3 linked regions of the Neurospora crassa OR74A genome follow. Each later gene encodes a partner of the first gene's protein in a complex. Links are inferred from orthologs where the notes say so. Each region holds a gene or a part of one and is shown on either strand. Other genes may lie near its edges.

What was found. The genes of interacting proteins can lie anywhere in the genome.
Region 2: NCU08296 (region 1) and NCU05717 share a complex: the UniProt entries of both Saccharomyces cerevisiae proteins name them as parts of the mitochondrial small ribosomal subunit. The link is inferred for Neurospora crassa OR74A from reciprocal best matches to the Saccharomyces cerevisiae genes NAM9 and MRP17.
Region 3: NCU08296 (region 1) and NCU03343 share a complex: the UniProt entries of both Saccharomyces cerevisiae proteins name them as parts of the mitochondrial small ribosomal subunit. The link is inferred for Neurospora crassa OR74A from reciprocal best matches to the Saccharomyces cerevisiae genes NAM9 and RSM25.

Annotation. Positions count from the first base shown.
Region 1 is NC_026504.1:2,499,137-2,510,332, reverse strand, and holds NCU08296 (mito ribosomal protein S4), read left to right. Parts: upstream 1-5,671; 5' UTR 5,672-5,860; coding exon 5,861-5,905; intron 5,906-6,093; coding exon 6,094-6,573; intron 6,574-6,675; coding exon 6,676-7,512; 3' UTR 7,513-8,056; downstream 8,057-11,196. Other genes in the region: nitrogen assimilation transcription factor nit-4, read right to left, coding at 58-1,643; NCU08295 (RNA-binding La domain-containing protein), read right to left, coding at 3,495-3,594, 3,651-4,417, 4,482-4,745; NCU08297 (cell division control protein 3), read right to left, coding at 9,223-9,861, 9,915-10,381, 10,437-10,703. UniProt on the Saccharomyces cerevisiae protein: Component of the mitochondrial ribosome (mitoribosome), a dedicated translation machinery responsible for the synthesis of mitochondrial genome-encoded proteins, including at least some of the essential transmembrane subunits of the mitochondrial respiratory chain.
Region 2 is NC_026503.1:610,532-620,823, reverse strand, and holds NCU05717 (mitochondrial 37S ribosomal protein YmS16), read right to left. Parts: upstream 5,116-10,292; 5' UTR 4,854-5,115; coding exon 4,830-4,853; intron 4,694-4,829; coding exon 4,662-4,693; intron 4,400-4,661; coding exon 4,102-4,399; 3' UTR 3,403-4,101; downstream 1-3,402. Other genes in the region: NCU05718 (hypothetical protein), read left to right, coding at 1-2,356, 2,435-2,498; NCU05716 (hypothetical protein), read right to left, coding at 5,797-6,485, 6,538-6,611, 7,574-7,617, 7,791-7,886; NCU05715 (sorting nexin mvp-1), read right to left, coding at 9,322-9,531, 9,584-10,177, 10,234-10,292. UniProt on the Saccharomyces cerevisiae protein: Component of the mitochondrial ribosome (mitoribosome), a dedicated translation machinery responsible for the synthesis of mitochondrial genome-encoded proteins, including at least some of the essential transmembrane subunits of the mitochondrial respiratory chain.
Region 3 is NC_026502.1:1,031,614-1,041,730, forward strand, and holds NCU03343 (mitochondrial 37S ribosomal protein RSM25), read right to left. Parts: upstream 4,804-10,117; 5' UTR 4,464-4,803; coding exon 4,078-4,463; intron 3,988-4,077; coding exon 3,651-3,987; 3' UTR 3,470-3,650; downstream 1-3,469. Other genes in the region: NCU03345 (hypothetical protein), read right to left, coding at 1-311, 367-1,191, 1,282-1,410; NCU03344 (hypothetical protein), read left to right, coding at 2,456-3,469; NCU03342 (hypothetical protein), read left to right, coding at 5,416-7,701; NCU03341 (exocyst complex component Sec6), read right to left, coding at 8,344-10,117. UniProt on the Saccharomyces cerevisiae protein: Component of the mitochondrial ribosome (mitoribosome), a dedicated translation machinery responsible for the synthesis of mitochondrial genome-encoded proteins, including at least some of the essential transmembrane subunits of the mitochondrial respiratory chain.

The sequences.
Region 1 (11,196 bases):
GTGAAAAGGTGAGTAACTCCGCCCAGTCTTGGGTAAGTAGAGAGTGAGAAAACCTACTGCATTAGAATGACATTGGGTAACTGGCCATCCTTGGGTTCGAATTCCTTTGGTAGCTCCGTTCTCCAGTCTTCCAGACGCCGATGAAGTTCGCTAAGCTTTTTGAGCTCAGCTGACTTGCCGCTCGATCTTCCAATATGACTGGGGTGGTAGAAGAAGAGTAAAAGATCACTACTGATCTCGCAGAGTTTCGACAACTGTAAGCCTATAGCCCGTGTCCGAGATGGCTGCTTGCAAGACTGGTCGAAGCCTGCGTCGGTATAAGGAGACCACAGTTCAGCATCTTCGTCTGGAAACACATCATACTTCGGAACGTTATAGGTGTTTTTGGGAAGCTGTGGTAGCCGCCCGAGATAGTTTGACCAGCACTTGTCAAACACAAAGCAACCCCAAAAGGTGATTCTCCGGGCATCCACCTCCTTTTCGTCCAGCGATCCAATGTCTAGATTCAGGCCAATGTCTTGAGCCATTCTGAAGCTCATGCCGCTGTATACCCAGCCTTTCGCTTCCCGTCCGCAGCCTGCTTCTCGCACTGACATAAGCGCCAGAGCTTGCACGGTAGTGAGCCTTGGTTTTTCGTACTCGTCGTTCTGAACAATCAGTCTCTTGGCCTCGGCGAAGAAGTGATCACCCTTGGTCCTGCTGTCCCCAGGTACCGCAAAGGCACCGTCCACACTTGTGAAGTGACAGCCAAGCGCGAGCATGGCATTGACCAGCAGCGACGAACAGTAAACAGTGGAGCGTGGTTGGCCAGCCGGCTTTCCCTTGATGAAATCCCGATAAAACAAGCTTCTAGACAGCGTGGTGAAGTAAGGATAGTGCCAGTTGAAATACATGTTGACGAGATGGATGATTAGTTGAGGATTCTTGGTCACCTCTGTCCAGGTGGTGATTGGATTCTCATCGCAGGTCGACAGGCGGGTTTCAAGCTCCGGTTCTTCAGAGGCATCTGTCGGTTCACTGAGATATATGAGGTGCGAGGTACCGCCAATAAAACGAACAGAACCATTTTCGATCCGGAGCTCTCCCATCTTACGGGCCAAGTCCCTCTCACCCTCAACGGCCTGACTGGTAGCGTCATCTCTGCCAGGTTGGGTGGGTTCATCGCTGTCATCGTTGTCGTTGGTTGCTGTTGCGTTCTTCTCATCCCTGCGGATGGACTCGGCTACTTCGTCAAGGTCGTCACAGGTGCGAATCCTCCTCACAATGTCGATCACATCTTCCTCGGAAGCATTCAAAATGGCCTCTATTAGGATCTGCAGTGTGGCGTTCTGGGCTTTCATGCTATCGTTCTTCTCCCGGTAGACGCCTTTTCGGCGGTGATCTGAATTTGGGTCATAGATGCACTCGGTGCCGTAGACACTGGCACAGGCCGCGCAGCTCGGAAGGGCGCCGTCACACTTGGACTTCCTCCTCCGACAGGCGATGCAGGCCGTGCTCACACATCGTCGCTTTTGGTTGGTAGGGTCAGCGCCCCGCCTAGACTTCTTCTTGGAAGGTAACGAAGAGGCGATGTTGTCGGGGGCGAGTCCGGCTGAGCCTGGCGCATCTTGAGAGGACATCATTTGAACATCCGAACTGTTCATCTGCCGGGGAGTACCTTGGTGAGCTGCCAAGTACAAGCCGTGGTAATGGTTCTGGCAAGGACTGCAACTGTGACAGCAAGCAAGCCTCGACACGGAATTGTGACGCCTGATATCGTCTGGCCGATGGGTTCTGTACCAGGGTGCTGGGTTGCGGGGAATTGGCGGGGAGTCCCCGGGGCCTCAACTCTTAAGGGACCGGTGGGACTGAAGGCCGTGTGCGACTGAAGCAATGGAGGATCTCTTGAACGATTATCAAAGTCGCGGACGACGGGCGTTGTATCCCAACCAACAGTGATAACCTCGGCGAAGCTCCGTCGAGGTCGGCAACAGAACTCCACGGTCCTCACAGCGCGGGCGTGGGTCGAGACAGCCCAACAGAGGCAAGGGAGATCCGGGGTAGTCCGGGGTAGGGATTTCGGGAAGAGAAAAGTCACAACAGTGATGGCGATGGGGGCGGCCGGGTTGGTCAAGACGGTTCTTGAGTCAGAGTACACGGCCGGGTGAGAAGAGGACAAGAGGCCGAACAAGCGATTAGAGAACGCCGGCGCAAGCGGGACGTTCAACAAGCAGACGGACGACTCAGAAAAAAAGCAACAAAAAAAAAAGGCTATTGGATAAGCCCCTGAGATGTTGCGGATCTCCTGTTCTCTTGTTCACCGTTGGACGTGAGGTGAAGTGGTTGATGATCAATAAAATGGGAGCGAAGTTTGAACTAAACCCCCAAAGCCCCAACCAAGACTCGGGACGTCGGCTGGTACGTGCTGTTTCCTTGAGGTACCTTACCCAGTTGATGTGCTCGGGTACGCAGGCATATGTAACAGTTGTCGACTTACGCTTCGTAGCAGTACACGAAATAAGGAGACAAGGCTGCTGGGACTCTGTGAAACTGACCGTTTCCGGTCTGAGGGCCAAAATGACTTGGACCCCTATCGTGTCGAGTGACGATAATTGTCGATTCGTAGGTAGTGCGTGTGCAGCTTTGAACCTCGACCTAGTTGCAAGTTGTAAAGGCTCTGAATTGTTTCTACACACGCTATAATAGTGTTAGTAATCATGATCATTGCCCATGGCGAGGTTTTCTCGGCAATATCATTGGTCGAACGGAGGTTCCTTAAAGCATCAGAAGAGGATCTCGAGCACTGTGTCTGTTTCGTAGATACTGCATCGCATCTCATTCGTTGCGTCCAGCCCCCAAACTGCACTAGGTATACTAGAACTCCATCTTACACTACATCGTGTGCTCATCCCGTACTTGCAGCCAACACAACGCCCAGACATCGATACATAGTACCCTAAGACCCAAGTTGGTAAATGGCGACTTGCGGTCTGGAACGATATCATAGGCGTGCTCAGCGTGGAAGGCCCAGCATGAAAGAAAATGACTGTTCAGTAAACGAATGGCTGTTTCCCCAAAGCGCCTGAGACGGTCTCCTTGTCTACCCAAAGCATTGACTATGGCCGCGTCACCTTGGTATCTACACATAATCCAGTCGGCGTTTTTTTAGCTATCAGAGACCACAACTTCCAATCTTTGAGGGAACAACAGCATGAAGGTCTGACATGATAAAACATCTAGTAGTCCATTCACTCAACTTGTCTAGCAAAAGTGATACAATGCTTACTTCTAGAACCATCGCCTTTATACTGCGTATATATTCGCATGCAATAACCACAGCACGCTATCAAGGTCAATATCGGATGTTGTAGTACGAAATCCCTGCCCTTTTAAGTTTAAAACAAACACCACCCATATAACGCCGTCCGAATGTTTTACAGCCTCGAGAATTATTCATCAGGAACAAGTCATCAGTCCGTCCGGCCCAGAACTTGGAGCATACCAATGCCGGCCTTCTATTGCTGCTCGACAGCCTCAGCCTTAGTGTCGACCTTCTTCGCCGCTGGCTCAGCACTCTTGTCTCCGTCATCTTCACGGGCACGCTTGTTGTTGTTACTATACCACACGTTAGTAAATGTTCGAAACCCAGTTGTCGGATGGCTGTAACTTACTCGTTGTTGCGGTCACGGTTGTCGCGACCACCACGGCCGCCACGGCCACCGCGGCCACCCCTTCCACGACCACGGCCACCCTTGAAGCCGTTTCTCTGGTCGTTATCACGACGCGACTTCCAGTCACCCTTGTCACCACCGCTGCGGCCGCCACGTCCGCGGCCACGTTCGGCACCCTTGATGCTGCCCTCGAAGAAGATCTTTTTCTTGCTGGTGCCGGGCTCCATCTTGCCCTCCTTAATGAGCTGGGTCTTCTCGTCCAGGTAATCCTTCTTCTTCTTGATGACGAGCTCTTGATCCTGCCACTTGGGGGCGGGGTTCAGGGCAACAAAGGCGTTGGCTTCGTCTTCCGTCTTAAACTCAACGAAGACCGAGCCCTTGAATTTGTTCTCCTCGTTACGCCTCAGCTTGACCAGGTTGACCTGACCAAACTTGGTGAAGAAAGCCTCGATGTCGAACTGAGTGGATCCGGTCTCTTCGCCGAAACCCTTGACGTAAACGCTGGCAGCCAGACGGGCCTTTTGCGCATCAGAGGACGAAGTGTAGGCCTTCTTGCGCTTGACCGTCTCCTGGCCCTCCTCGCCAGACACATCCAAGAAGGCGCTCTCCTTCAACGCGGCGACGACGGCCGAGTAGGGCTGGAACATCTGCATGCGCTTGAAGCTGCAGATGGTCTTGAGCGAAACGGGCTTGTTCTCCACGCCTCCGGTCGTCTCCCACATGAACTTATCGGTAGGGAGGTTGCTGTCGCTGAAGTAGAACTCGACCTAAGACTATTTGTTAGACACGGGGACACGCAGCATGCCAACTGTTTTTGTAGTCTGATCGTACCTGGTTGCGGATCTTGACGGGATCGTCAGTGACGGGCTGGGTCGAAGGATCGTATTTCCTGTTGTTCTTGTAGTCGGCGCGGTCGATAGACTTGGTAGCCTCAGGCTTCTTCTCCTCCTCCTTGCTGGCATCCTCAGTCTTGGGAGCCTCCTCGGCGGCGGGGGCAGCCTCCGCGACGGGGGCCTCTACAGTCTCGGTTTGGACCTCGGTCTGAACATTCTCGACGGCAGGCGCAGCCTCAGTGTTGGCGGTGGTATCGCTCATGATGAAGGTCGGAGTGGCCTGTAGGTATTTGAAAGGGTAAAGTACAAGCGGCTGTAAAGGCAATTGACCGTCTAACGTGACGCGCGTGCACGGAAGAGAAGAATGGATGTAGATGGCCGGGAGAGAGATAATGGTGAACGGATGATGAAAATGCAGAAAGTGCACTGGAGACCGGGGACCAAGCAGGCAAAACGACGAAATTATTTAGTGGGTCCTTCAGGTGCACTCCAGTTTTGGGGCGGTAGGCGCAAAATGTTATTGCAGGGTGCAGTGGGGGAATGGTGTTGGGTTGGTGCAGGGTTGATTGTTGATCGACGCGACAGGAAAGTCGGCCATTCACCAGCAAATCCCAGGACGTGTGTGAAGTGTAGAGGTAGTCACGTAGTGTAAGTCAGGTAGGACCTCGATAATTCTGAACTGTAACACACACTTCAATTCCCTTGTCAAAGATCGAGAGTTTGATTCAGTCTTGTCCATCCATTACTGAGCTCCCTCCCTCCATCATCATACAGCAGCGTAACCCATCTGCCCTGACTTTTTCCAGGGTCTGTCGGCATTGGAGTCATATCGAGGACTGCACTTGTCAAAACCTCCCCCTCAGCGCAAAAAAATGGAAGCGGCGAAACCAAGCAAGCAACCAAATCAGCCCCACCCAGGTCCAAGGGAACCGCCTTTGGGTTTAGACTTTTTGTGCCGATTTCTACCGCCTGGCTCTGCTTCTAGCCCCACTCCACTTGCACCCGCAATCCGCCAAGAGGTTGCGGAGCTATACCGCATGCGCTCTAGCTCCCGCATCCTGTGCCTGCCAGTTCTCCACCATCCGGCCTGGAGTTGACGCGCACAGTGGCCCGAGCTTCTCACGTGAATGCGACCAATGGGCGAGCGCGTGCTCCAATTCGGGTCTGAAATAATTTTCGGAGGACGGCGCCCGATAAGAGGTGGAAGGGCCCCGGGAAGCTCCCCTCGTTGGCAGTGCTGCTAGGTGCCCCGGACCGCTCCGGACTCGACAATCTCCAAACAACCTGCGCCGAACCGGTCCGTCCACTTCGCCAAAAGCACGGGGCCTACAGTCCGATCCGATCCCCCGAAGCTCCTCCAAACACACCACACCCAACATGAAGATCCGGAGGTTGTTCAAGTACCACAGTTTGAAGAAAAAGGTATGTGCTATTCGGTGTTTTATGCCGCCGTCGCCGGGTTTGCCGTTGGTCATCGTCGCCGCCGCCGCATCATCACCCCATTCGCCCCATTACCTACTACCTGCCAGTCCCATTGCCACGACACTCAACACCCACCACACGCGATCATGCTGACGTATTTTGTGTGCGCTTCTTCTTCTTCCGAATAGCCCATCAGGCCGACATGGAACAAATATAACCTGTACAACCTGGCTACGGCCGGGAGAGAACCCAGAATCAGCGGCAAGACATTCTTCCAGCAGAAATGGCTCGCCAAGTCCTTGACACGAGCATACCACGGCGAGCACATCAAGGAACGCAAATGGGCGCGCATGTTTAGCCGTCGCCTACCGGCCGTCGTCAACATGGACCCGGCATACATGGCCAAATATAACGGCAGCGAACAAGCCGCCGGCCGCGGTTCCGGCCTCTCAGAGCCCCCAGCCTACGAGAAGACCGCCGACGAGAAACCTGCCAAGCAAGTCATCGCCAACCCGGGCAGGAAGGTTCCCACGCCGTACGAGCAAATGACCTTTGCGCCTCTCGAGAGACGCCTCGATATCGCCATATTCAGAGCCCTCTTTGCCAGCAGTGCGAGACAGGCCCGCCAGATGGTTGTGCACGGTGCCGTCACCGTCAACGGCAAGAAGGCATGTACACCATCACAACGTTCCAATACCGAATCCCACAATACAGTGCACCCATGCCAAAGCTGCTTGTTTCGGCGCTAACATTACCCGATCCTTTTGCAGATGAAACACCCCGGTTACCTCCTGAACCCTGGCGATCTCTTCCAAGTCGACGTCGAGCGCGTCCTCTATGCGACCGGTGCGCCCAAGGACAAGAAGCTCCTCGCCGCGGCTATGAAGGCCGCCAAGAAGGAGCTTGCGGAGGAAGCACAGGAAGCCGCCGAAGAGAAGGATGCGGAGGCCGAGGAGGCCGAGGAAGGAGAGGCACAAGAAGCAGCCTCCAAGTCCGGCAAGAAGGAGAAGCAAGTCGACACCTCCAAGTTCGACGAGGCCTGGAACCGCAAGTACGAACTCCTGCAGCTCCAACGTCTGCTGCAGTACGCCAAGCACATCGCCGACTCGCCGTCTCACCAGCTCTCCGCGACGCGCAAGCAAGCATTGCGCGCTTTGAAGCGCGACATCAAGGCCGCCATCAAGCAAGCGCAGCGGCGCGACGGGTCCGTTTCGCCAACCGGTAACGTGGTGGACGACCTGACGATGCTTCTCGAGCGCCTTGCGGTCTCCCCTTCCAAGGCCATTCAGCAGGAGGAGGCGGCCAAGGAGCTGAGCAAGAAGCTTGACAAGCAGTCGCGCCAGGTGCTCAAGAAGGTGATCGAGTACAACGACGAGCACGAGGACAACGAGATCGACCCGAGCAAGCCGTACATGACCCCCTGGAGGCCGCGCAACTACATGTCCGCTTTCGCGTTCATCCCCCGCTACCTTGAGGTCAACCAGAACATCTGCGCGGCCGTCTACCTCCGCCACCCCGTGGCGCGCCCGGGCGAGTCCGAAGTACCGTCGCCTTTCTCCCCCACTATCAACCAACTCGCGTTCAACTGGTACTTACGGAGAGGTTAAAGGAGGTCTAGTTAGGAGCGAGGGAATGAAAAGGGGAGATGGAGGGAGGAACGGCAGTCACTCTCTGCCGTCTCAGAGCGGTAGAATTCGCCAATGGACGATTAGAGTCGCGCGCACCCAGTTTTTTGCATGTCGCGGGTACGCTCTATTGTGCTTGTTGCATCTTCAAGGCAACCTCGGATGATGTGATACTCTGCACCTGCTGCGGCTTCAGTTGGACCATGCGTTGGAAATCGGGTTCGGTCTCGATGAGAAAGCTGCGAAGTGGGCGGCAAATCTCGCGATTCCCGGAGAAAAAGGAGACGGGGATGGATCATGCATGAGATGAGTTGACTTCATACGTATTTTGGGCACATTGCGCGTAACAGTTTGTTCGTTCCTCAATACCCGAACAATCTGTTGCAGACTCATTCAGTTCGCCCCCTTCGGCATCGATGTACGCTACATGTATCATTACCACTATTAACTAAATGGATATAAAGAGGGGCATAGACAAATTTCCTTCTTCTTTGCGTAAGAAAGTCATGAGACAGATGAGAACCACCGAGACACCTACGGTCTCCTCTCTGAAAGCTCAGTGCTTATATAGTAAAATTGCCAATCATAGCATTGTCGATCGAGAGGAGCAGTGCAAAGGTAAACACTTATCACTGAGGAAGACGGCAAAATTCGCCTTGAGAGCGCGAGAGAGAAAAAGGCTAAGAAATAACTATCTAGGAGAGGCTAAGTGTACGTTGAGTGTGTGTATGTTTTATGTGGTAAGCAAGAACCCTCCGTGGCTGGAGAGCGAAGCACCAGTTGAGAGAATCGGCCGGAAATGTTGGGTTGGGTATGACCGACCGTAAACCGTGAAAAGAAAAACCTCCTACAAGAATTCCCCGTGAAATAAAAACATCTGATCGCCGATGAAAGCAGTTAATAAAATACATGTGTTGTTGGGATATCTGGTCGTTCGTTGCTTTTCGTCCAAGTGAGATTTCCCGCCTGTTCCCTTACGCCCCCTTTGCAACTTGCATATGGTGCAACGTCGCGAGCACAATTCAAACCCGACTCCTTCTGATCCCTCTATGAGCTTCTCGGTTGTGAATTGCTCCTCGCTCCCGCCAGCCACAGCATCCTAACCGACTTGTCAGTCATGGTGGCAGCCGGAAACATGATGTTGCCGACAGTCGGTCAAGAAGACAAGGGCAAGCAGAGCCGCGAAAGGGAGTTGAGGGCCTGATTGCTGCTGCGCCGCAAACATCTGATGGGGAACAGCCAACGAATTATCTCTCTTTCTTCTCCCTCATATTTTCGGAACTCAACTCCCTAAAGCAGATAAGAGGATATATCTGTTGGAACCATGCTGCCATTGTGAAGTAAGAGATTCTCGAAAAAGCTCCTCCGGCCCAATTACATCTGCATTAGCTTTTCAAGAACAAAGTCGACCGGACCGCACCCCGTCCCAACGACGGAACACACCGGCTTTTGGAAATTTGACCGTTTACGGCAGCCAACAAATTTCTAACAGAAACCCATCCGGTTATGAAGGGATCTGCAAAGAGACTGTTGGCTTGCGAGGGGATCCTCCCGCAGGATTAGGAGGTTATGATTAGAAGATGAACAAATGGAAAACAGAGAATGAAGGAATGAAGCGGCAGGCCGAGGTGTATGCGGGATAACATGACAGTACAACAGTCGTGAGAGGCGGGTGAAGTTGTTGCCGCAAAATTATCGGAGAGAAAATCCCTTCCTCTTTGTCGGCTCCTTCTCAATTGGCCGCCCACTTTCGATTCGGGACTTCTTCTCCTCGAGCTCCAGTCGTTGGCGCTCCAGCTGCTCCTTCATCTCCCTATGACGAGCATACAGCTCCTCTTCGCTCTGCTTCAGCTTGGATTCCTTTTCAGCAACCTTTTGCTGGAAGACCATCTTCATTTCGGCTTCCATCTTCGCAAGCTTCTGTTCGTGGAGGGCGCGCTCTTCCTCCTGCTTGACGGCTGGGTTCACCTCCTTGAAGACGCTTGGATCTTGAGAGACGCCCATAGCGATCAACTTGTCCGTGCGGTAGTTCTCGTAAAGGACGTTGTTGGTGTGCTCCTTGAGCTCCTCCATGTGAGTACGGATGAGCATCTGGCGGAGCTTCACAAAGTCGCAATGCTCCTCATTGTCCACCTCGATCACACCCCAAGGGTAACGGCGACCGCGAACCTTACGGCCATCGGCGTTTGTGATCTCGTTGGTCGCACCGACAACAGCGAAGGGGACCTTGGACATGATCTCGTTGTTCTCCGCGATGGTCTCCTCATCGTCGAGTTCGTAGCGAGGGCCCTCAAAGATTTGCACCTTGTGGTACTTGATATCCGCAAGAATCTATGATAAACTGTTAGTATTGATCGCAGAACCAGTAGGGCCCGAAGACATACTCTAGCCTTGAAAGCAGCAATCTCGTCATCGGTGAGAGTATCCGACTTGGCGATGACGGGAATCAAGTTGACCTTGGTGTGGAGACGCTTCATGACCTCGATATCAAGAGGCTTGAGCGAGTGACCGGTGGGCTGGATGAAGAACACACAGGCATGGATCCTGTTGTCCACAATGTTCATGCGGTTCACCTTGTTTTCGGCATCCAAGTAAGCATCGAAGCGCTGTTCGATGTTGTCCACAATAGGACGCCAAGACTCGTCGTTGTTGACAAAGTCGCCGAAGCCAGGAGTGTCAACGACGGTCAAACGGAGGCGAACACCAGCCTCTTCAATATCGGCGCTGATAGACTGAATGGTGACAGTCTTGGGAACAATGTCGAGGCTAGGTCCCTTGCGCTCCTTGGGAGGGTAAAGCGAAGTGTTAAAGAGAGTGTTAACGAGGGTCGACTTTCCGAGTCCCGATTCACCTGCATGTCTAGAATTAGTAAATCTCCTTCAATGGACACAGAAAGCGTCACATACCAACAACCATGACATTGAAGTTGAAGCCCTTGCGGACGCTCTTGCGGTGCCATTGGTTGGGAAGGTTGGCGAAACCAACGTATCCCGTCAGCTTCCTTCGGACAATGTTTCGGTTGTCGCTCAAGGTAGAAGGGAGAGCTGCGGCCACGGTGTCAGAACCAGAAGCATCTTGATGTTGTTTCGTCTGAGATGGCAATGGCTGGGAAGTCGATGACTGAGGTACGGGAGCCGCCCTAACAGGAGGAGAGGTGGGAATACCGTTCGAAGCTGTCATAGAGCCAACGTTAGCATGATATCCATCATCTTGTGCCCAAAAGTATGTAATGTATGTCCAGTCAAGTGCGCGGAGCTCTCAACTACTAGAGGATAAAGGCCGCTTCGGTAATGGCTCCTGGGACACAGTCGGATCCGTAGCCTTGGGATATAGCTCGTCGTATGAGAATTGTTGGGTCATTGGCAACGTCGGGGCCGGGTCCTCGATTTCCAGCAAGCTCTTGTATCGGCGTAGAGCCTTCTTGATCATCTCGTTGTTCTCCCCAAGGGGCAAACTGCTGGTCCGTGTTCCGGAGACGGAAACGGGGGACACGGGACCATCCCGCGAGGCGCTTCCATCGATGGTTTCAGCGAGACTGGCGAAGCTCTTCTCAAACTGAACACTTTTGGCGCGGCCCCGGGTGGCATTGTGCATCATGGTAGCGAAATGCATTGCAGCGGAGTCGTTTGAACAAAGTATTTGGGTGGTAAGATGGTTCTCTTCCAA
Region 2 (10,292 bases), on another chromosome or scaffold:
AGGCTGCATCGGGTGAGAAAGGACAAGACCCGGCAGGTTTGGCCATGTTAGCGAAGAAGGCCCAGGGCGTGGCTGCTGTGGCCGGTGGTGAACTTTGCAATGGGAGTGGCTCGACTTCGGGATTGTCGTCGCAGCGGGAGACGCCGCTGAGAGAGGAAGCACAACAACGGCAACGGCACGCGTTGCCTAGTCGGCCTAGGGAAGGCGGTAGGACACCAAGCGAGGAGCACGACAGGGCACAAGAACTTCAGCAACAACTACGCAATGAACAACAGCAGCAGAAGGAGAGGACTGAGAATGGACTGGATGGAAAGGCCGTGGACATGGACAAACTGCCCAAGGTTTATAATGGTGCGGGTACGTGCGTCGGTCATGTGCGGCCCATCAACCTAAGAAACCACTTGACTATGCATATCCAGCAGCAACCGATTAAGCGTCACGTACAGACTCGCCAGGGACGGAACTTCACCGCCGAGACGCTGGAAACCATCTACGAACCGAGCGACAAGAAGGGCGCCAAGTGGTTGAGCTGTTGGATTCAAGCTACGGGCCATGTTCAAGAAACCCCTTGCGCGTCATGCACAACTCGCCAAGGCGTCTTCCCGCAGTGTATCATCCTGGACGCCGAGGGCTTCCCCCGGTGCGGTAACTGCGAGTGGAATCGCCAGGGATGCAGTGGTGCTTCTAAGCATGCAGACCACGAGATGGCCGAAGCCAGCCCAAAGGCCGGGAACGGAGAGGTGGCTCAAGAAGCTCCCGTTGTTACCAGTGGCTTTAAAGCTGTGAATGGCACATCGGCGAGCCAGAAGACCGCGAAGGTGGTTAGCAACGGAGATGAGCAGCCAGCACGATCCAAACTGCCCTCGGGGCGCAAGTCCCTTCCGAGCACGCGCAAGTCCAGTGTGCAGCCCGAATCAATCGCCCCAACGCCCCTGGAAGGCAGTCCAGCGCCCAACGACAGCGATCACGCAGAAGATCTTCCTCCCATCAACCTGGCAAACCTCGCCCTCCGTGACGACGGGACTGTTTTTACAGACCCCCCTTGCATGCGCGGCGTTCCCCTCGTCAGGATCGGCCCCGACCATCCTTATTGGGATCCCGAATGGGTCGCGCTCGAGGAGCCGATCCAAGCCCAACTCGCCAAGTGGTCGGAAAAGTACGAAAAGTTGAAAAACGAGGGCGGCGCGGCGTCGACAAAATATCTGGCTGGTCGTCAACAAAACAGGGGCAAATTGGTTTTGGACTTTCTGGCAAAGGGAGAGTTCCACCCTTATCAGCTCATGGCAAAGCACCTCATCAACAAAGCCTACATAGGTTATGATAACTTGTACCGCATGGTGCAGGTGCTGGAGGAACTCAAGAGGTTCAAGCAGCTGGATGTTTCACCTTCACAATGGCTTAGACACCGATTACACGAAATCCACGAAGAGCTGGGCGATAAGTTCAACCTCGGAAAGGCGGTGGAGAACCTCTACTCGGACCCCAAACTTCGGCTACTTCGCAGCGAGAGCGGGTTTGGCAATATTGGTCGGCCGAGGGGCTACAAGCCTACGATGGCTGATAAGGGAGAGGATGGGCCAGCTCCCAAGAAGGCGGCCAAGGGGACGAAGAGGAAGGCGGCTGCTGCTCACTCGACAGATGACCCTGCCAACCAGTCAGAAGAGCAACTTCGTGTCGTAGACCACCACCAAGCCGCCGACACAAGAGCCCCATCTTCCCATTCCTCACCCTCTACTTCAGAAGAAATGGGTCATCCAACCCATGCGATTTCTAAGCCTCCCGCAGCCAAACACCACCAGCCCTCCCCCTCCGTGACCCTCAAAATCCAAGCTCCCCCCGAAGATCTCTACTACGAAGGCTACACCTCGGACGACTCCTACTCGGGCGACAAGATCACAGAAGTCGACTGGCGGCTATTACAAGTTCGTCACCGGGAAATGACCACCAACACCGGTATTACACAATACTGGCATTGGCTGGGCGCCGGCGAGGACTTGACGGGTCGCGGAGAGGAAAACTGCTTTGAGCACCAAGTCCTTAAAGATGTCAAGGGCCGTCGCGTGACGTGGGGCGTCTACAAGGAGCCGATTGATTTCCATCTGAGGTTGGACGAAATCGAGGAGGTGGTGTATGCGCCTGAGGGGAGTGGGTGTTTGAAGATTTTGATTAGTGTGAAGAAGGATGCTGCACATCATCATCATCATCGTCATCATGGGGATGAGGAGGAGGAGGAGGAGGCGCAGGAGGCGCAGGAGTCGAGGGGGGATGTGTTGGCTTGGTTTAAGCGGGAGAGAACCAAGAGGAGGTTTTTGAGCTTTTTGGTGAAGAAGGGGAAGCGGGTGGTGAGGAGTACTGCGTACGTATTTTCTGATTTCTGATTTCTGATTTATGATGCGATGAGTTACTGACGTTTGAGGTGTTGCTGTCTGTATAGGGCGTACGTGGAACAAGCTTGGGATGATATGGACTCGGTTGTTTTGCCGCATGAGGATGAATAGGGTTTTGAGATCCTTCGGGGAAAAAGAACTACCCATGGTTGCTTGCCCATGAGCGCGAGGAACACGGTGGGTGGTGGCGATTGGTGAGAAATTGTCAGTTGGGAAGTTGTGAAGCGCGTCAAAAAGGTTCCACGGAGGGATATGCTTTTCTTGTTTTTTCTCATTCTTCTGCTCCAGATGTTTTGCTTCACGGCACTCTTGGTTTGCGTGGCCTCGATCCATAGATCGGCCGATCGTGGTTTTACTGCATTTCCTGACTTTCCTGGTTTTCTTCTGCAGGCGGTTGTGCTGGTTGGTATGGAGTTTGGGAGTTTATGTTTTTCTTATTGTTCGTTTTTTTGTGTTTCCTTTTTTTTCTTCCTTGCATTCACTACCGGGTCTTTTGTGTCTAAACGCCGGGATAAAGTGGTAGGATACAAACGCAGCGTCAAGGGGGTTGGTGATGGTGGTGGTGGTGGTGGTGGTCAGTTTACTGCTTGCTTGTTCCGGGCGTTGCTGGTATGGTGGGTGGAAAGACTGGATTTGAAAAATTTTCGTTTTGAAGAGAGAGAGAGAGAGAGAGAGAGAGAGAGGGAAGACTGGAGTGATTCATTATTTAGGTAGCCGAGTGAAAGTAGTGGAAGGTAATTGATAGAGATGGTTTACATTAAATCTCACTTTAGTGAGCCCCGGTTCTGGATGTGTGTTGACTTGGTGATATGAACATGCCTCTGTTGCCGTGTGTTGCCGTGTGTTGGCGAGACTGATATCATAGTGTTTAACTGGGAACTCGAGAGGATCGATCAACTACATTTGATAAGGGGAGGTAGTGTAGCATACAAGTGTGGTAACTGAAACGAGGATGAAGTTTGAGCGAAGAGCCCTCACGTCAAGTTTTCAAAGATCACCCGTAACTTTAATATGATCGTGTCTGACGTTTCTTAATCCCAAGCCATCCTTGTTGAGCCGGGACCGATGAACTACCTTGCTTTAAGGAATCTGAATATGGCGTCGTATTCTTTAGCGGATCACATTCCACATGCGTTATCGTACATGAACAAAGACGGGTCCGGGAGTTTGTTCTCTAGCTGGCTTGACTGATATGATACTCTGACCGTTTCGAGTGCACCCTAATTCACGCCAGAACTTCTTGATCGACGACGGTGATCCATTAACGGGGTCGAAAAGGAGTCAGGTTCCTCCTTCCTTCAACCTGAGTGGGTATGGATGGTTCCGCAACCCATTCGCAATGAAGATTTCGGATACGTATGCTGCCTGTCTGTATGTATGTATCCCATGTTGCTATCCAGGTGTCGTGCGTTCACGATGTACCATTGCTCATCGAAGGCCCAGATCGTTATTGGTGGGTGTTTCGGTCGTTTTTATTGTTGCTGTCGACGGAGGTAAGAAGGTATAAAGATGCCTGCCATCCATCCGTCCATATATGTTGTCCGGTCTGCTTCATCACGGCCCTTTTGGTATACACAAGCCGGTAAGGAGATGGGATGGATATATGTCGATTCGATTCGACTCGATTCATTATTTCCCATCCATCTGTCCATCCATCGTACACATTCCCCCCCCACCCGCCCCCTCTTTTGCTCTCCGTCCAGAAGATACAGATTTACGCCTCCTCTAAACTCCTCCAAGGAATCGCCCCAAACCTCGACAGCGTCTCCAGCTTGCCATCGCCCAACTTCACGTTCGCCGTGCGGATCACGCGCGGGTCGGCCTTCATGGTGCGTCGGACTTCTTCGTGCGTCGCGATGCTGGCGTCGTACCGCATGACAAAGTAGTGGCCCCGGTTATGGCGCTGCTGGTTGGTGGAGATGGGACGGGGCAGCAGGAACGTGCCCCAGTTCTTGATGTCGCGGATGACGCCGCCTTGGTTGAGGATGAGTTTGCCGGCTGTTAGGACGAGTCTGTTTTTTTTTTATTGGTTCTTGTTTAGTACGACGAGGTGTGGAAGGTTGGTAGAGGATGGGATGGTTGGGTTGGGTTCGGAGTCGGAGTCGGGGTGATAGGTAGGTAGGGTCGTGGATGATGTGGTAGAAGAGAAGACAAGAGAAAGATCGGTCGGTTCGGGTCGGGTCGGGTTCGTAAGGGAAAGGAAAGACGGAGGGAGTTTTCTTCAAGTCGGACGGACTATCGAGTGGAAACAAAGAGAAGGGGAAAAAAACATACTCCTTCACCTCGGCGATGTTGCCCGGGCGGACCTGTTCACAAGTGCAATCATTAGCAAGACTGTCTCTTTCCATCTCTCTCCTCTCCCATTCCCTTTCCATTTCCTTTCCTTTTCTGTACCCCCAATCTCTTAACCTGCTCCTGTAGTTCAACCCTAGGGTAACTCACAATACCAATAGTCTCATACAACATCCTGTCTGGTAGTTTGGGCTGGGCGGCGGGCAATCGGTTCGGGGAAAGAAACGAACGCAAAAAGAAGTTTAGTTTCGCGATGCGATGCGATGCGATTGCGACCGGCCGAAAGCGCGTATAGTACTACCTAGTGAACCTTGGACGTCGATAAGAAGTTCGGAGCCCCACAGTAGGTACCGCTGTGGCTGCTGTTGTGACCGGGCTCAGCAAGTACTGTAGGGTGTGGTGGGTGTTGCCGTCAGCAGTGCCGCATTGCCGCAGTGCCGCAGCGGGTTGGTTGCGAGTGGGCGTCCGGGTGCCGCCGCTTGCTTGGAAATTTTTGTGGGGTCCAGGAAGAAGGTCGAGATTCTGCCGCGTTGACCGCCTTCCGGATAGGGGTGTACACACTTCATCAAGGGTGGGTGGGAGAGAGGTTGTTTACTCGACTCTTCAGCTGTCACCTCGGTGATTGTAGAGACATCTGTTGGGTGTAATGGTCCTCCAGAAAAGCTGTTTTAAAAGTTCCTAAAGGGTTATAATGTGGTCTAGAAGCAATGAGAAATCAGACTTGTTCTAAAAACATTCCCAACCGCTTCATACACCTTTGAATGGCCTTCATGTTGTAAATGCATGCTCTTATCGGTATTGTGTATCTGGAAATGCGCTGTGTAAATGTATTCTTTGCTCTTTGCGAACCAACCTCTGATCTTTCGATGCGCCGCTTGACCACCATGGCAGCAACCTCAACAAGATGATAACCGCCATGAGAGCCCCGAAAGCCCTCCCAGCATCAACTGGCAACAGCATGACCATCAGTGCTTCTCTTCTTTGCCCCTCTTATCCTCCCTGCGCCAAGGCGAAAGAGTCCTCACCAACATCCTCATATGCTCCCCCCCGTATAACCACATCCACCCACTTGACTTCATCCTTTACACTCCTTCCCCGGATGCTCATGACCAACTTTCTAATAATCCTCAACATCCATCCCCTCCCCTCCTGCTGCCCCCGGTGCAGGCGCCTTGGCAATCCCCTGCTCCCTGCACCAAAGCACAAAATCGTCAATCACGCCCGGCCACGCCTGGTCTTCGTTCCAGAACCCGAGCGTCTCATCCACCATCGTCTTCTCCGCAAACGCCAGCGTCTGGTTCCACATATCCTTGTTGACGCTCCTCGTCCACTTCTCCGCCAAAAACCGCTTCCACGCACCCAGCCAATCCACGTTCTTGCTCTTCCACGGCCTCGGTCCTAGTCCTGTATCTGAAGACTCGGTGCCCAAAAACAAATCCCAGAATACCAAGGCAACGTCCTTCTCCAGTGCCTTTTGGGCAGGTTCCTTACCCAGGCCAAAAGCGAACTGGTAGACTTTTTTGAAGTAGGCCGGATTTTGAGGCAGGTTTTGGATGCACATCCGGACGTAGTTTCTGTGGTGGGCCGGGTCTGCGGGAATGCGGTGGTCGAGGTAGATGGAGGACCACCCCTCGACGAAACCCTGGCGAGTGATTTGGCCGATGGAGTCGGCGCGGACGATCTCAAGGACCACAAAAGCTTCAACGTTTTCGATATTGGCGCCCATGGAGGAGATGTAGGCTTGGGCGGCTTCGGCGCCGATGGCCTCGACGGGTTTTCCGGCTCCTGCTGCTGCTCGGTCCTCGTCTGTATCGATGTTAGTTCGAGGGGAATGAGAGGCAGGGGCAAAGAGACATACCGCCGACCAGACGGTCGAACAACTGATTCAACGCATCATCTGGGCCACGCTTCCTTTCCCGATCATTCATATACCTGTGGTCGAAGTAAGGTTAGTCTTCCGTTTCCAACCTGATAAATTTTGAAAATAATAAGCAAGGCATCTTAAGCCATCACGGACTCTAATTCCGGCGCATTTTCCAAGGATGAAGTGGATATTCCCTTGGGATCTATGCGTGGACCCAACTCCCCATTGCCAGTCGGTAGGACAGTTTTTGTAGACGGAAGATCCTGCAACTGAAGAGACCCAGGCACGTTGTCCGCCGTTTGGGGATATCGGGAGTGAGATTGTGATCGCGAGTGGCTCCCCTCAGTCTCAGTCGCATCTTCGCTTGGAGTAGCCGACGACTTTGCGGGTTTGCGTCCATTCCTCTTTCGGAAACAAGAACCAAACAGTTTCGAAAACATGATTTTCGTGTCTGAAGAGCCAAGTGGTGGCATCTTGAGGTGCAAAAGTGGTGATAAATGCCTTTGATGGGAAAGGGGCGTCGCATTCATTCGTTTGGGAATGACATTAAGGTTGAGCTGGGGGCTCCACTGGAGAACCACGGTGTGCATGGAAATGCGTATTGGTTGCGTGGTTGCATTCTCGGCGCCTCCCTCATCTCCCTTCTGTTGATGTTTTCCAACAAATTCAGAAAATAAGAACCCGGGGGCTGGAAACCAATGCTGACGGTTGACAAAAACAAAAAACGATGACCCGAAAAAAAGACCACAACATGACCCTTTTAATAAGACATTGTGTCGGGACGTTGATCCCTTGTGGTATTCATTGGTCGTAAACAGCTTGTAGCTGTAGGGAGCTGTAGGGAGTTCCGACCCGAACGACCGTCGTGGCCGGCTTCGACCCGGCCCCAAAACAAAACCTCCCTCATATTCCAACTAATAATTTCGAAGGGATACACACACGGTATGCGGTGCGCCGTGCGACATTGCGAATGCACATGGGGTAAAGTCGGTAGTTGCAAGAGGAGACGAGGACGGAAGAAGGGACCTACATATTCGCAGCAAGTTCGACACTGTAGTTTGCATTTCGGAGGTACTGTAATCCAAGTCCAAATATTAGCTTCTTGCACTCTTGTTCGCAGTCGCACTCGCACGGTCGGACTGATGGACATATGGCGTCCCAGCGGGACGACACTCTCCGAGGTCTCTTTTAATCCCTTCTTGTGACATTGGACCTTGCAAGGGATCTTGGACTTTGGTTGAACTCACCCGTTGCGCATTCTCCTTGCTCGCATTGGTCACTGCGACAAACTGGGCAACCTTTTGCCTCTGGGTGGCCGTTGAGGGCAGCCTAGAGCTACTCATTCTGGCTGTCTCAACGTTCGTTGTGTGGTTGGGGGTGTCGTCGTTCGTTCCGTCTTTCGAACGCTGAGCGGAAAAGAGACGAGATGGTTGTCTGACAGAGACAAAATGTCGCCCTTGCGAAGGTAAAGAGAGAGCTTGGTGCTGGCGCTTGTTCGGGCACGCGTGAGTTGATCTCGATCGGTTTATGAGCCCAAAGTCGTCGCGGGGCAGGGCAGCAGAGGCTGATAAGGCGGGATCGGCTGTTGGTCTGGTGATGTGGCAGACGGATGGAGCTTGAGGCGCTCGCTGTTGGACGGGTCGCGTGTTTGTAATTGCGCGCAGATACGAGCCGAGGGGTGGGTTGAGCTCGAATTCGGTAGCAAAGCTGTGAAGGTGCCGTGGCCGTGGATTTCGGTTTGCAGGTTCGTTGCCTAGGTAGATTCGTCCCTTCTTGCGTCTTGTCAAAATAGGTAAAGATCGGGAAGGCGGAGGGGAGCGACGGGACTTTAGGGCGGGCACTCCACTACTAAACGGGCATCACAGCTTGGAAAGCGGGACGGAGGGGCCCGCGGCGGAGGTTCGTACCAGGGAAAACCCACTGCCACCACGGCCATTCAGCGCTATGAGTCCAGCTACCTAGGCGAGGCTGAAGAGAAAACGTCATGGCGGGGGAAGTCACTGCGACCATAGAGGTAGAGGTATACTACCACCAGGGCAGCTCGTGTGTCTGAGTGCCGCCGCGGCAGTGGTGTTCCCCAGGTCTTGGCACGAACCACTGGATTGAGACGGCCGACCAATGTCCCGGAATCGGCTTCAGCTTCTGCAAAGTACAGTACCTCTAGGCAGAGTGGAAGCTGCAGTGAATCACAGCCAACGAGTAGACTAACATGGGTCGTATAAGCCGCGTCATCATCTCTGGTATTGTCCATGCCTCTCTTCAACTCCCTACAGAAAGCCCCTACAGACAGACCATACACATACAGCTCAACTTGACACAAAGCAAATCATATGAAAACGCCATAAACATGAGTAACATAACAAAGTCACACATGAAGAACCCCAAACCAAACTTCATCCCATCATACCGTACCCCCCTCAATCTTTGCACATGCCTGGTAACTGGTATCCCCAAACCTGCCATCCCCGTCATGAAGCTGTAACCTTCTGTCCCTTGTCCATAATTCGTCATCAATCTCATCAATATCCGTCAAGCCCAGTGGACCACCCCACCAGCAGAAACAATCCTTCCTGTTTGACTGGCATCTCTGTTGTTGACGGTGCCACTTCTGTTGTTTTCGATTCCTGCAGGTCTGTTGAAGCTCCATTGCCGATAGCTTGACCTGTTGACTTTCATCGTATTGCCCCTTCCCATGTCGCTGCCTCTGCTTGGACCACGAACAGTGCCGTCACCACCACCCCGGATGGTCCGACCAAGCCCATGCCTCTCAGAGTTCACCTAATCCCCAAGCGGCATGCCTTCCAGATCATCTAGCAACCTTCGCCAGTTGTCCGCCAGCATCTCCGAGTACTTAACCCGCTCCTGCGCCCAATCCTGCGTCAGTCTCGACACGTTATACTGCGTGTTCTGGAAAAATCGAAGCTCGTCTCTTATGCATTCCTTGACAAATACTGAGCGGTTGTGTTGTGTGACAATGGATTCCTTGTCCTGCTTCCGGTGTTAGTAGAGTGGCATTGATCAACGTAAAAGAGAGACATACCTTAATGATCGCCTCTACAACCCTCTCTTTCTCCCCGGGCTTAACCATCCCTTCTGGCTTTGCATTAAGCGCTTGCAGCTTCGCTTCATTTGTCTCTATGCGTCGTTGCAGGAAGGGGATGTTGTCCTTGTCGAGACGATCTCTCCTGTCAAACATATCACGTAGACTGACTAGCGCATCTCGCTGCCTCTTCAAGTCCTCCAAAACACCCTCTTCCCACGCCTTTGCTTCATCCTCCATCAAAGTCTGTGCAGTACGCAAGTGTCGGCCCATGGCTTGCAGCCCGTCGTTGAGAAGTGGCACGTCATTGTGGTCGGTGGCGTAGGTATCGGCACTGGTCTCGGTGAGTGAGATCAGGGAGACAGCCATCCTGGCGTGGTCGGCTGCTACGCCTTCTGAGCGCTTGATCAGACGGTCCATGATGGTGCAGGTGCTGATATAGAGCTCAGCGCTGCGGCGGACGCCGACTCGGGTGCGCGCAAAGAGCTCCTCCAAAGTTGGGGGAAGCGAGTCCTCGAGACCGGGCGGTAGTGTGCGGCCGGTAAACTCGTCCTGAACAGAGATTGTTGCTTGCTTGCGCCAGACCGACAGTTCCTGAGAGCACATCATTAGCAGCTGCGGGGAAGCCACAAAGTGTGAGGTAGACATACCGTAGGCACTGTCAAGAACATAATCACCAGCTGCTCCTGACCCAGAACCGGGTGGCGCA
Region 3 (10,117 bases), on another chromosome or scaffold:
ATTTCGTCTGGTTTTTCATCCGGTGTCGGGGCAGGAGCCGCGACCGGAGCCGGAGCTGGAGCTGGCGCTGGAGCTGGGGCCGGTGGCAGTGATGATGAGAATGAAGATCGCGCAGCAAGTAATTGGGACGATGGCTTCACTGCTCTTCCTGATCGTCTCGGACCCGTAGCTGCTGCTGCCGTATTCGCCGTTGTCGGCCTATACTTAGACGGTTGTGATACAGATCCGCCTTGTGGTGCAGATGGTTTAGAGGTGGTCCCGAATAGGGGCGCCATGTCAATACGGATAGCACGGGGAGCGAGGAGGTGAACCTGAAGCAAATGTTAGTCATGATTGGACTATCAAGGGGCCAGCAAGACGACTTACAAGAATTGCAAAGCCGGCCCAAAAAACATGCGCGGCTGCCGGCATATTCAGCTCTGCTTGCTCCGGGCCAGCTAAGATGGGTAACCTCCTGACCCAAAATCGCATAAAGACCAGAATGGCCTGATACATGTACCAGGCTCGAAACCCAGTTATGTGTTTTGTAAAGCCGCGGTGTAGCTGAGGATACCGTGGATTCCACCAGACGCTTAGAATCGCAGTAGTGAGATTCCAACCACTCAGCCGGTCGGTTGACGGCAGAAGGTTAAAAAACCAAAAGCATGTATCCACAGCTCTCAGAGCCCACGGGTTCGGCGTTTCACCCAACCGCGTCAGGATGGCCGCCTTGAACAACATGAGCATTATGGAGAGGTGCCAAAGGAGTTGAAGCACCAAGCTAGCAGTCCGTAACCACCTCCCCAAAGAGTCGAAGACGTTCAGCCAACTCCATCCTGTAACTTGCTGTCGCTGCTTGTTGCTTCTCTCAATCATTCGGAGTAAGACATCGGTTTTTGCCGTATAAGCTGCTTCGCCTAGTTTCTTCTGGACGCGCGGTTCGCATTCGGCGCACATTTGAGGATAGAGGCGCTCTTGCAAACGTCGGAACTTGTAGATGTTCCTACATCGCTCTTCGTATTCAGAATCATCGGGATCCGGGAGATACTGGGCCAGAACAGCTCGTAGCTTGTCCTGGTTGGCCAAACATTTGTTGCAAAAAACGCTGGCGCTCGAGGAACCGACGGTGGGCGAAGTTGCTCGCGTCGTGGCAAACTTGGCAGGACTTGCTTCGTACTCGGTGGCTACAGGAGGATCGGTGATGTCGCCGTTCTAGCGGAGCAAAGAGAAGGTGTCAGTAAATAGGTACAATATGCGCCAGCCAGGTCAACTGGATAGATTCAAGACAGCAGGGAGACCTACACCATCAAGGTAGTTTGTTGCGTCGCAGTTCCGGCATTCGAAGTTGCGGATAGAGCTGTTCCATGGGGTCGAGGTCTTGCGGCCACAATAGAAGCATGTTAGATATCGAGTCCTGTTCAGTCTGGGCATTGCTTCGAGTGGTTGCGCGTTCACGCGATGCCCATTGCAGAATGTGTTCGGTTTTCAGAAAGCGGCGCGCAATGTCTTCCCTTTCTCTGCGACACGGGGCAGAAAGCCTCCTTCAAATATGTCCCCAACCGCTGAAGCTAATCGCAGGTATTGGAGACCGAGAACTCAATTTGTCGTGGAATGGTTCCTCTGTTTATAGGTGATTGCTCAATTGGAGGTCGTCTAAGTGGTGAAAGGTGGTATCCATTCAAGACGGATGGAATGTGAAGATGGAACTGAAGCGACATGGGACTTTGGGGTTACTGAGTGAGGAGGAGCTCTCTCTCTTGAGGTTTCGTTGACAACAAGCATCCATGCGGTTCCCAACTTCCCGCTTTCTGCCAGGCGGTCGGTCAACTTTTTAGCGGCCTGGGCCGCCAAATGCGCCCAAATCGCAGTCACCAGTGGGGCCACCGTCGTCATTCCCTTCCGCTATTCGGCAGATCATCAGGGCCCAGGGGTGCGTGTCGGGTGTTCTCCAGGTCTCTCTTTCAGGGGTTTCAATTTGGCCCAAGCTTCCCGTCATTCATTGTCGTGCCCCGTAAAGCGACATGCACTGGCTCATTCCCGTCATGTAGCTACCTCTACAGAAACCACACCTCCATCGCCTTTTGCTCAGTGTCATTTTTTCCACATGCCTCTACGACTTAAAAGCCTTTGATCTTGATGTCATATATCACGCTTTAAATCTTGCCAGATCTAAAACACCCATTCACCTGGAGACACATGTGTCAAGTCGGCATGGGGCTTATATGAGCGAGTCTACATGTTCACCTCCAGACGGCACCAAACAAGCCTCTCCTTCTTACCCCAATTGGATGTGCCCCTTTTGTCATTGTTTATTAGCCCCTTTATTTTGGAAGGCGTGACTTCAGGAAACCTCCAAACAAAACACGTTATCAAGATTCGACGAGGTGACACCATCAAGTACCCAGACTCCATATTCAAAGAATGTGAAACTAATTATACCAATAGAATTTTGAAGAGACCTTTGGGGCTCTCTAGAATGGCCCCTACTACTTCAGCGTCCGTGCTGGCGGGCAAGGAAGAATCGCGCAATGATCAAGAGCTAAAGCCCGACACCAGAGCTGAGAGCTACTCTCAGTTACATGTTGAGACTGTGAGCGGCATCAACTTGACAGCAGCCACCTTTGTTGCGGGTGCAGCATCCTCCACCGCAGCCGGGCTTCTCCTCTCTGGTCTATCATGGCTATGGCTCATCTCCCTCGTCATCACCGTCGGGATAGTGCTTGGTACCTTTATTGTCTACCGGCACTTTGAAATGATACGCCGGCGTCAAAAGCCAGGTGGCAGCTGGCTCGTCCCCAGCAATACGCCCCAACCCAATGCCGCTGGCACACAAGTTCCCAACACCACCTCTCTTCCTGCTATTTACTTCACATATATACTTGGCTCTGGTGGACACACTGCTGAGATGATTGAGACCATCAAGCAGTCATTTCGCGGCCAGGCAAACATCCACCGGCGGTACATCATCTCCATCGGAGACACTTCCTCTCTCGGCAAGGCCCGCCTTCTGGAAGCGACTATCAAGGACGCCTATCCCGGAGAAGATGATCGAGCAGGCACCTCTGATATCTTCTTAATCCGCCGTGCGCGCAAGGTCCATCAACCGCTCTATACGGCACCCTTTACCTGCCTCATATCCGCCTTTCATGCCGCCAATGCCCTCACACGGATGCCCAACCCACGGTCAACAAAGGATCATGGAAAGGGATTCAGATACCCGCATGTGATTGTTACAAATGGGCCTGCCAACGGCTTTATTGTGTGTTTGGTGGCCCACTTGCTCAAGATATTCTACCTCGTACCCGAAAACAGGGCCAAGGTGGTGTACATCGAGACCTGGGCCAGGTCCAAGACGATGAGTCTGACGGGGAAGTTGTTTCTAAAAACGGGCATTGCCGATGTTGTCGGTGTGCAGCACGAGAGTCTGGCGAAAATATTCAAGGGCAGTCAGTATATCGGGCCGGTGTCTGCCGGGTTTCTTCGAAGATAGGCGACCAGGCTCCTGAATCACATGTACTTCTACAAAGTCTCTTGCCCTCTCTATATGTACAAAGAGACGTGATATTCTTACACTTGTGCACGAGTGGGCCGGCATCGTCTTTCCCCGACACGGATGGGTATCAGCCACGCTATACCACTCTGTCCCTCCCCTTTTACTCCAATTCGTTGCCTTAATTCTGCGCGAGCAGCTCGTCCTCCTCAGATTCCTCGAGCGCAGAGTTGTCGACGACATTGGTGTACATGGAAGCCCTGGCAGATTCCTGGCGGGCGATCTCGGTCGTAGCCCACTTCTTCCAACTCTCATACGTCTTGTTCTCGAGCTCCATGCCGACCGTCAGAAGGTCCTTGCCAAAGTAGCCACCAACCATGCGGGCCTCCTCGACGGCTATCCTGCGCTCCATCTGCTCCAACTGCCTCAACTTGTAGAACTCGTGGCGCGCCTTGTCGTAGGCTTCCTGCTTGGTCATGCCTTGATTCTCCATAAGCCAGAGCTGACGTTGAACGACACTATCGTTTGCGATTCGGGTTAGCATCCAATTTCCATGCCTGTCCGCCGGGCTTTTGCGCCATGTGCAATGCGCTCATCCAACAACGTACCTCTCGCCGGACAAGGGGATGCCGCGTTGCCTGAGGCCCTTGGACCAGTCAAGGAAACGGGCGTCCTTGCCATCCAACTCGATAATCATCCTAGGCCTGGCCAACTCCCAAGGGTGGTCGCGGTAGAAGTCGCGGCGCAACTCATCTTCGGGATAGACGATCTTGGTGGGCCTAAAGAGGTTGCGTGGCTTGCGCGCTCGCGGGTTCGGCGGAGAGTGCTGGATCGGATACGGTCTGGTGTTGATCTCAGCGGGAGGGATGGACTCGATGGCCTTGAGCCACAGTGGTGGGTTCCGTGGTGGCAGGCCAGAGACGATGTTGGTGGCAGCAGCCTCGCTGGCCCTCTGGTAGACCTTTGCGGCCTGGAAGATGCGCCCCTTGCCCATCTTGTCCGGTCGTCGCTGGCGGCGTTTGGGTGTTGTGGAGGGAATTACTGGTGATAATCGACGGCAGCGGTGGTGTTGGCTGAGATCAGAGGACCATTGGCGGATTCGGCGGTCCTTTCGTTCCTCAGGTACCCTCCCAAGGCAAAGGCAAGGCTACGAGGTTACGGGGTGTGTATACCTGTGTAAGGTAATAATAATACACTGCGCTGCGCTGCGTAGGCACAATGGATTCCCTCACCCGCCAAACCTATCGTTATCGCTATTTGCTTAGCTTTGTCCAAAGTGGAGCTGTGCCTTTTGGAGACAGGCACGATCCGACACGACCTTCAGTTGTTGCCGGTAACCCGCGCGACCTGCTGTCCTGCCTGCCGCGAGCGGGCGAGCAATTGGAAGGACGTGCCGGCAAAAAAAAAATAGTTCCCCGCCCCGCCATTAAGCGACCAAAGGGAAGGGAAGTACCTAGCTAGGTGCTTATCGATAACAGAAGTGGGGGTCTTGAGCCCGGCCGAGACTGGACCCTATTCCAGCTTCCCCTCTTTCGTAGAGGCAGGGGTGGGGTGTGCTCACGGCAAGGTACCTGGAGCTGTGCCTCGTCCATGTATTGTAGTGTACACCACTACACTACCCCAACTTTTTCTCAATCATCGCGTCGCTCACCCGACCCCAGTTTCCTGCCACATCCCTCCTCACTTCATGACTCGAGTTCTCCCCATTCTCCCCATACTTCCCCGCCCTCCACGAATCTGACGCCCTGACCACATCGACCTGAGTACGATCCAATTCGCCAGTAACCGCGATTGCATCGAGTGCCAATCGAGTGCGCAGCAGCCAGCAGCTTGTGATTGCGTCTTCTCTGAGCTCTTCTTCATCGAATTGCGGCCGACACTCGCGGGGAACAGGCAAGAAAAGGTTGGCTGAATGGGCAGGCCATCATGTTGGACGGCGGCAGCTCATGAAAGTCTCCAGCCGATTTGAAGGGTCGATATGCGGCACCATCTTCTTGCATCGTCCGTCGTGGAATTGGTCTGCCATTGCCGCCTCCGCAACCGCAATTGCTGCCACCAGTTCCGTGTCGCAAACCACAGCATCCATCCAGCTCGGTGACCAAGGCAGCGGACGAAGAAGACAGGTTGCGACAGCAGGCCTCGGCCCAGTACAACAACGACGGTGCTTCCACGGCAGCTGGAGCTCACAAAGTGGTGGCCTTGTCGATGGGGTCGCGAGGAGACCCATAGGCGGCTCCACCGGTTGCCCGCTACTGACCACCCCATCCCTGCGGGTAACTCCCACCAGTCTGTCCGGCACGAACAGCAGACGAGCACTCGACTCCAACTTCTTCCGCTATTCGGTCTCTGCTCCCCAAAAGCGGAGCCACACGGCGGCGGCGGCGGCGGCGGCAGCCCCGGTCCCTGACCCCGTTGCCGCAGCTGCCCCCGAACCCAGTGCCGATCAGAAGCCCGCCGACTCTGTCTTCTCGGCCCCATCCGCGCTACATGACGATCTATCGACCGAGTCCCACTCGGGCGCAAACCCACAATCACAAGAGCTGCCCGAATCCCACAGTGCGAAGCTCGGTCATCTCACCAAAGAAGAGCTGCTTGAACTGGTAGATCCCTATCATGATCTAGATGGAACGGTCGAAGACTACCTCAAGTTCATTCGCGATCCTTACATGCATAATTATGCGCCCGCTGATAGGCCCCGGTTCACCTTTGTACAAAATGAAGATGACTACGAGTATCCAGGCCCGGACGAAGTGGTTGGACTGGACGAATTTGGCCAACACACACTGAGCGATCTCAGGTTTGCTGTACTCGTGCGGCTGCGCACTCCACACAAGGTTGACCTTGACACGATCTACGACCTCTACCAGCAACTGCCGGAACCGCGCATGCCCTACATCAATGGTCGATTGCGACATCAGCTCCTAAAAGCATTAGGGCAGCCTCAGCGGAGAAACTCCAAGTCCATGCTGCGGTACTTCGCCGTCATAGCGGATGTGAGGAACTGCAGCATGCCCTTGACGGCAGGGGAGTGGAATTGCGCCATCTCTTTTGCAAGCCGATATGTTGGCACTGTCACCGAAACTCAGGCGCAGTCTGCCATGAGACTGTGGCGCGAGATGGAAGTCGACGCTGGCATCAAGGCGACCGAGGTAACCTTCAACATTTTGTTTGATGTGGCCTCGAAGGCTGGCAACTTCACTCTCGCTGAAATGATTTACCAAGAAATGGTCAGTCGTGGGCACTATTTCAACCGCTATCACCACGTAAGCTTGATCCATTTCTTTGGGCTCAAGAGGGAGACTGGTGGACTGCGCGCCGCGTTTCGGGAGATGGTTGAGGCCGGCGAGATGATTGACACGGTTGTCCTCAACGCCGTCATATCTGGACTGTTGCGATCGGGCGAGGAAGCAGCGGCCGAGCGTATTTATGCTCGCATGGTGGCTTCTATCGCGAAGTGGTCGGAGGTGTCATTCCCAACCCGGAGCTATGCCAGCGATCGCGCCATCACCCAGGCGCTGAAGATGATGGCCCGGGTTGCAAAGAAAGCTCCCGAGTTGCAACACAGCTTTCAAGAGATGGTACCAATGCATCCGAACCTTCGGACGTATAGCATTCTGGTCAAATATTACGGCGTTCGGTGCGGAGATCTCTCCCGCGTGGCCAAGTACATCGACGATATGAAGCTGTTTGATATCCCTGTTCACGGCTCCATCTTCAAGGTTTTGTTCAGAGCTTTTGACCGTCATGGAGGTTACGCAACTTCAGCATGGAGCGCGAGGCGGTTAGAATCAATCTATTCGGCCCTGCTAGAAGCCATAGATGCTGGACGCACACTTATTCATGACTCGGCCCCTCCACCAGTTGACGAGGCAGCGTTTACTGATGATCAAGCTCAAGAAACCCAATTTCATGAGCCAGTTCAGGTCCAGCAAGATCATATCCAGGAGGAACACCTTCCTGATATTTACGACGATGAAGCTGAACTCCCCTTCGAAGAGGAGGAGTACCAACAAAAGAAAGAATGGGGTGTCGACCGGCCAGGCATAGAGATCAAGACCTGGCTGGCCATTTGGGTCCTGCGCGCATTCATGCGATGCACAAACGGCGACAGAGTCGTCGAAGTCTACGACCAACTCAGGGCCCGCTGGGAGCTCAGTGACAAGGACGAGTTATTCATGGCGGACTTTTTGTCTTCGCTGCTCATCAACGGATCAAGAAGAGGGAAATGGTAATACAGTACAAACACATCACGACAGAATATTGAGACAGACACAGAGACAGACAAAGAGGTCTGGCAACGGGACACAGAACGTCACGGACACTACCATGAGCTAATGATGCTTAGGCACAGATTTTACATATTTACAGAGAGTTGTTGTTGCTTGTGTTCTTATTTCTTTTTTTTTTTAATCTCTTTTTATAATGGCGTCGGTGATGGTTGGACGTCAAATGTTTCTTGTATATTGCTTTCTTCTTTTTCTGTTTTCTTCGCTTACCATAGACGCGGACCAGTCGCGTAATATCTATGGGCATTTGCATGTTTGCGAACCAGAAGGGCACGCTTAACGAGCCGGAGTTTGGACTCTGAAGAATATTTATGTGGAACTCCGAAGAATATTTGTGTGGTTGCATGAATGATGGAAGTTAAAGGCAGCATTTCAAGTGAGGGACAACCACCCACCATTAGACTGGCCTTCGGTTCTCTTATTCACTCTTGAAAATGTCTTCGCTGTAGCTTACAAAAGCTGGTATCATTATATGCATAGAACTTCCAACTCCCTTCCCGACTTCCGTACCTACTACAGTCCAATCCCAAGTATCTCACATCATTAAACCTATCCATTTTCAACCCAGGATAACTATTGCGTGTCCCCTTATTTGACCTTGCTCATGATAGTTTCCGGCCCTCTGACAACGTCCATTTGGGCGGCCCTAGCCTTGACAGCATTCAACATACTTCTCTCAAAATCGTCTCTGGACCTTAACACTGCCTCGACCCAGCTGATCTGCAAATCCCAATACTGGCTCTTGAACTCTGCAAACGCGTCCGGCACCGCCTCTTTATCGACCGTCAACAACTGTAAGAACGGCTCCGACACGCGCCACGTCTCTTTGATGGCATCGCCCACATCGGGGTTCGGCAAGTTGTTGAAGAAGTCAAAGGCAGTCGACAGGTCGTCAAAGATCTTGTCTTGGAAGTTATCTTGCCTGCGGAACTTGGCGCCCTTGTTGCGTACCGATGACAGGTAGCGAATGAGCAGCTCCTCGGCAAAGATCTCGATGAAGATGTCGACGAGCGAGTGGTGCAGCACCATCTTGTAGTCGGACACGTACTCCTCGAAGGTGGCGATCATGCGCGCCATGGCGTTGGTCGTGTACCAGCGGGGGGTGAAGAAGTCGGGCATGACGGTGCGGAAGTCAACTGCGAACACCAGTTGGGCAAATTTGGTCATGCACCACGTGCTCAGGTCGACGTAGCCGTCGCGCAGAGCCGTGATCTCCGTCTCGGCCCGGTCCATGTACTGCGGCGACACGAGCGTGCTGAATTTGCGCCGGAAGTCGGAGAGGTACGCCATCCGGCCTTCGTCCTCGTTGTCATCGATGCAGGCGATTTGGTCGTTGGCTGTCGCCACGAGCCAGTCCTGCAGTGGCTGGAAGCCGTCCAGCTCTGGTTGGCCTTGTGGGGGTTGCACCTCGTACCGCGCGGCTTCGTCCTCGAGCATCTTCTGCCAGGACTGCTGGCGGGTGCGTAAGCGCTGGAACATGGTGTCGATGACACCTTCCACAACATCGGCACGCTTTGAGTTGCCCGCGGCATCGACCTGTTCGCGGAGCATGCGCCACAGATCGACCAGGTTCTTGGTGCGGAAGTATCCATACTCGTCCTGGTCGAGGTTGCCACCCTCGACGTTGCGGTCGACAAAGTCCTTGCACTCTTGCTTGTAGATACGGTCAATCCATTCGTCGAGGAACTTGATGATGAGGGCGCGGAAGTCGCGCACCAGTTCTGCCTCGCGGTTGTCGATCACATGTGGTGTTAGTTCGTCCTGCTTCATTCCCAACTTGGTCATCTTGCGATAGTAAGCCTCAGGCCAGCTGATAATGGCTAAAGTATGTGCCGAGCTGGTCTCCGGGTCGTCAATGAGCCCGATGAGATAGTCATGCATCAAGCCGTGGTAGATAGTAGCCCATGTCTTGAATATCTTCCACTTCTTGGGCATAAGCGGCGTCATGCCGATCTTGACGGCGTTCAAGTCGTTGAAGTACCATTTCAAGGACTTGTCGAGCATGTCCGGATCACCCAAGAACTTCTCCTTGCTCTCTTTGAACTGGTCCTCGGCAAAGGTCTTGATAGCCTTCAAAAACTTGTCCTTATAGCCCCTGACCGTCTTGGCGCCGTCGGTTATGCTCTGGAAGCGTGTGGCCATTTCCTTGTGATCCTTCAGCGCTTCTTGCAAGGCCAAAACCCTCTGATCGCTCTTTTCCTCAGCTTCTATTATCAGTGCGAAACGTACGACCAGACTGTTGTTGTCGGCAATAACCAGGTTGATCAAACTCATGGCGACGAGGGTGATATTCACATCAAACCACTCAATGTATTTATCCAGGCGGGAGAAGTAATCCTCTAATGTAGACTGCAGGCCTGGA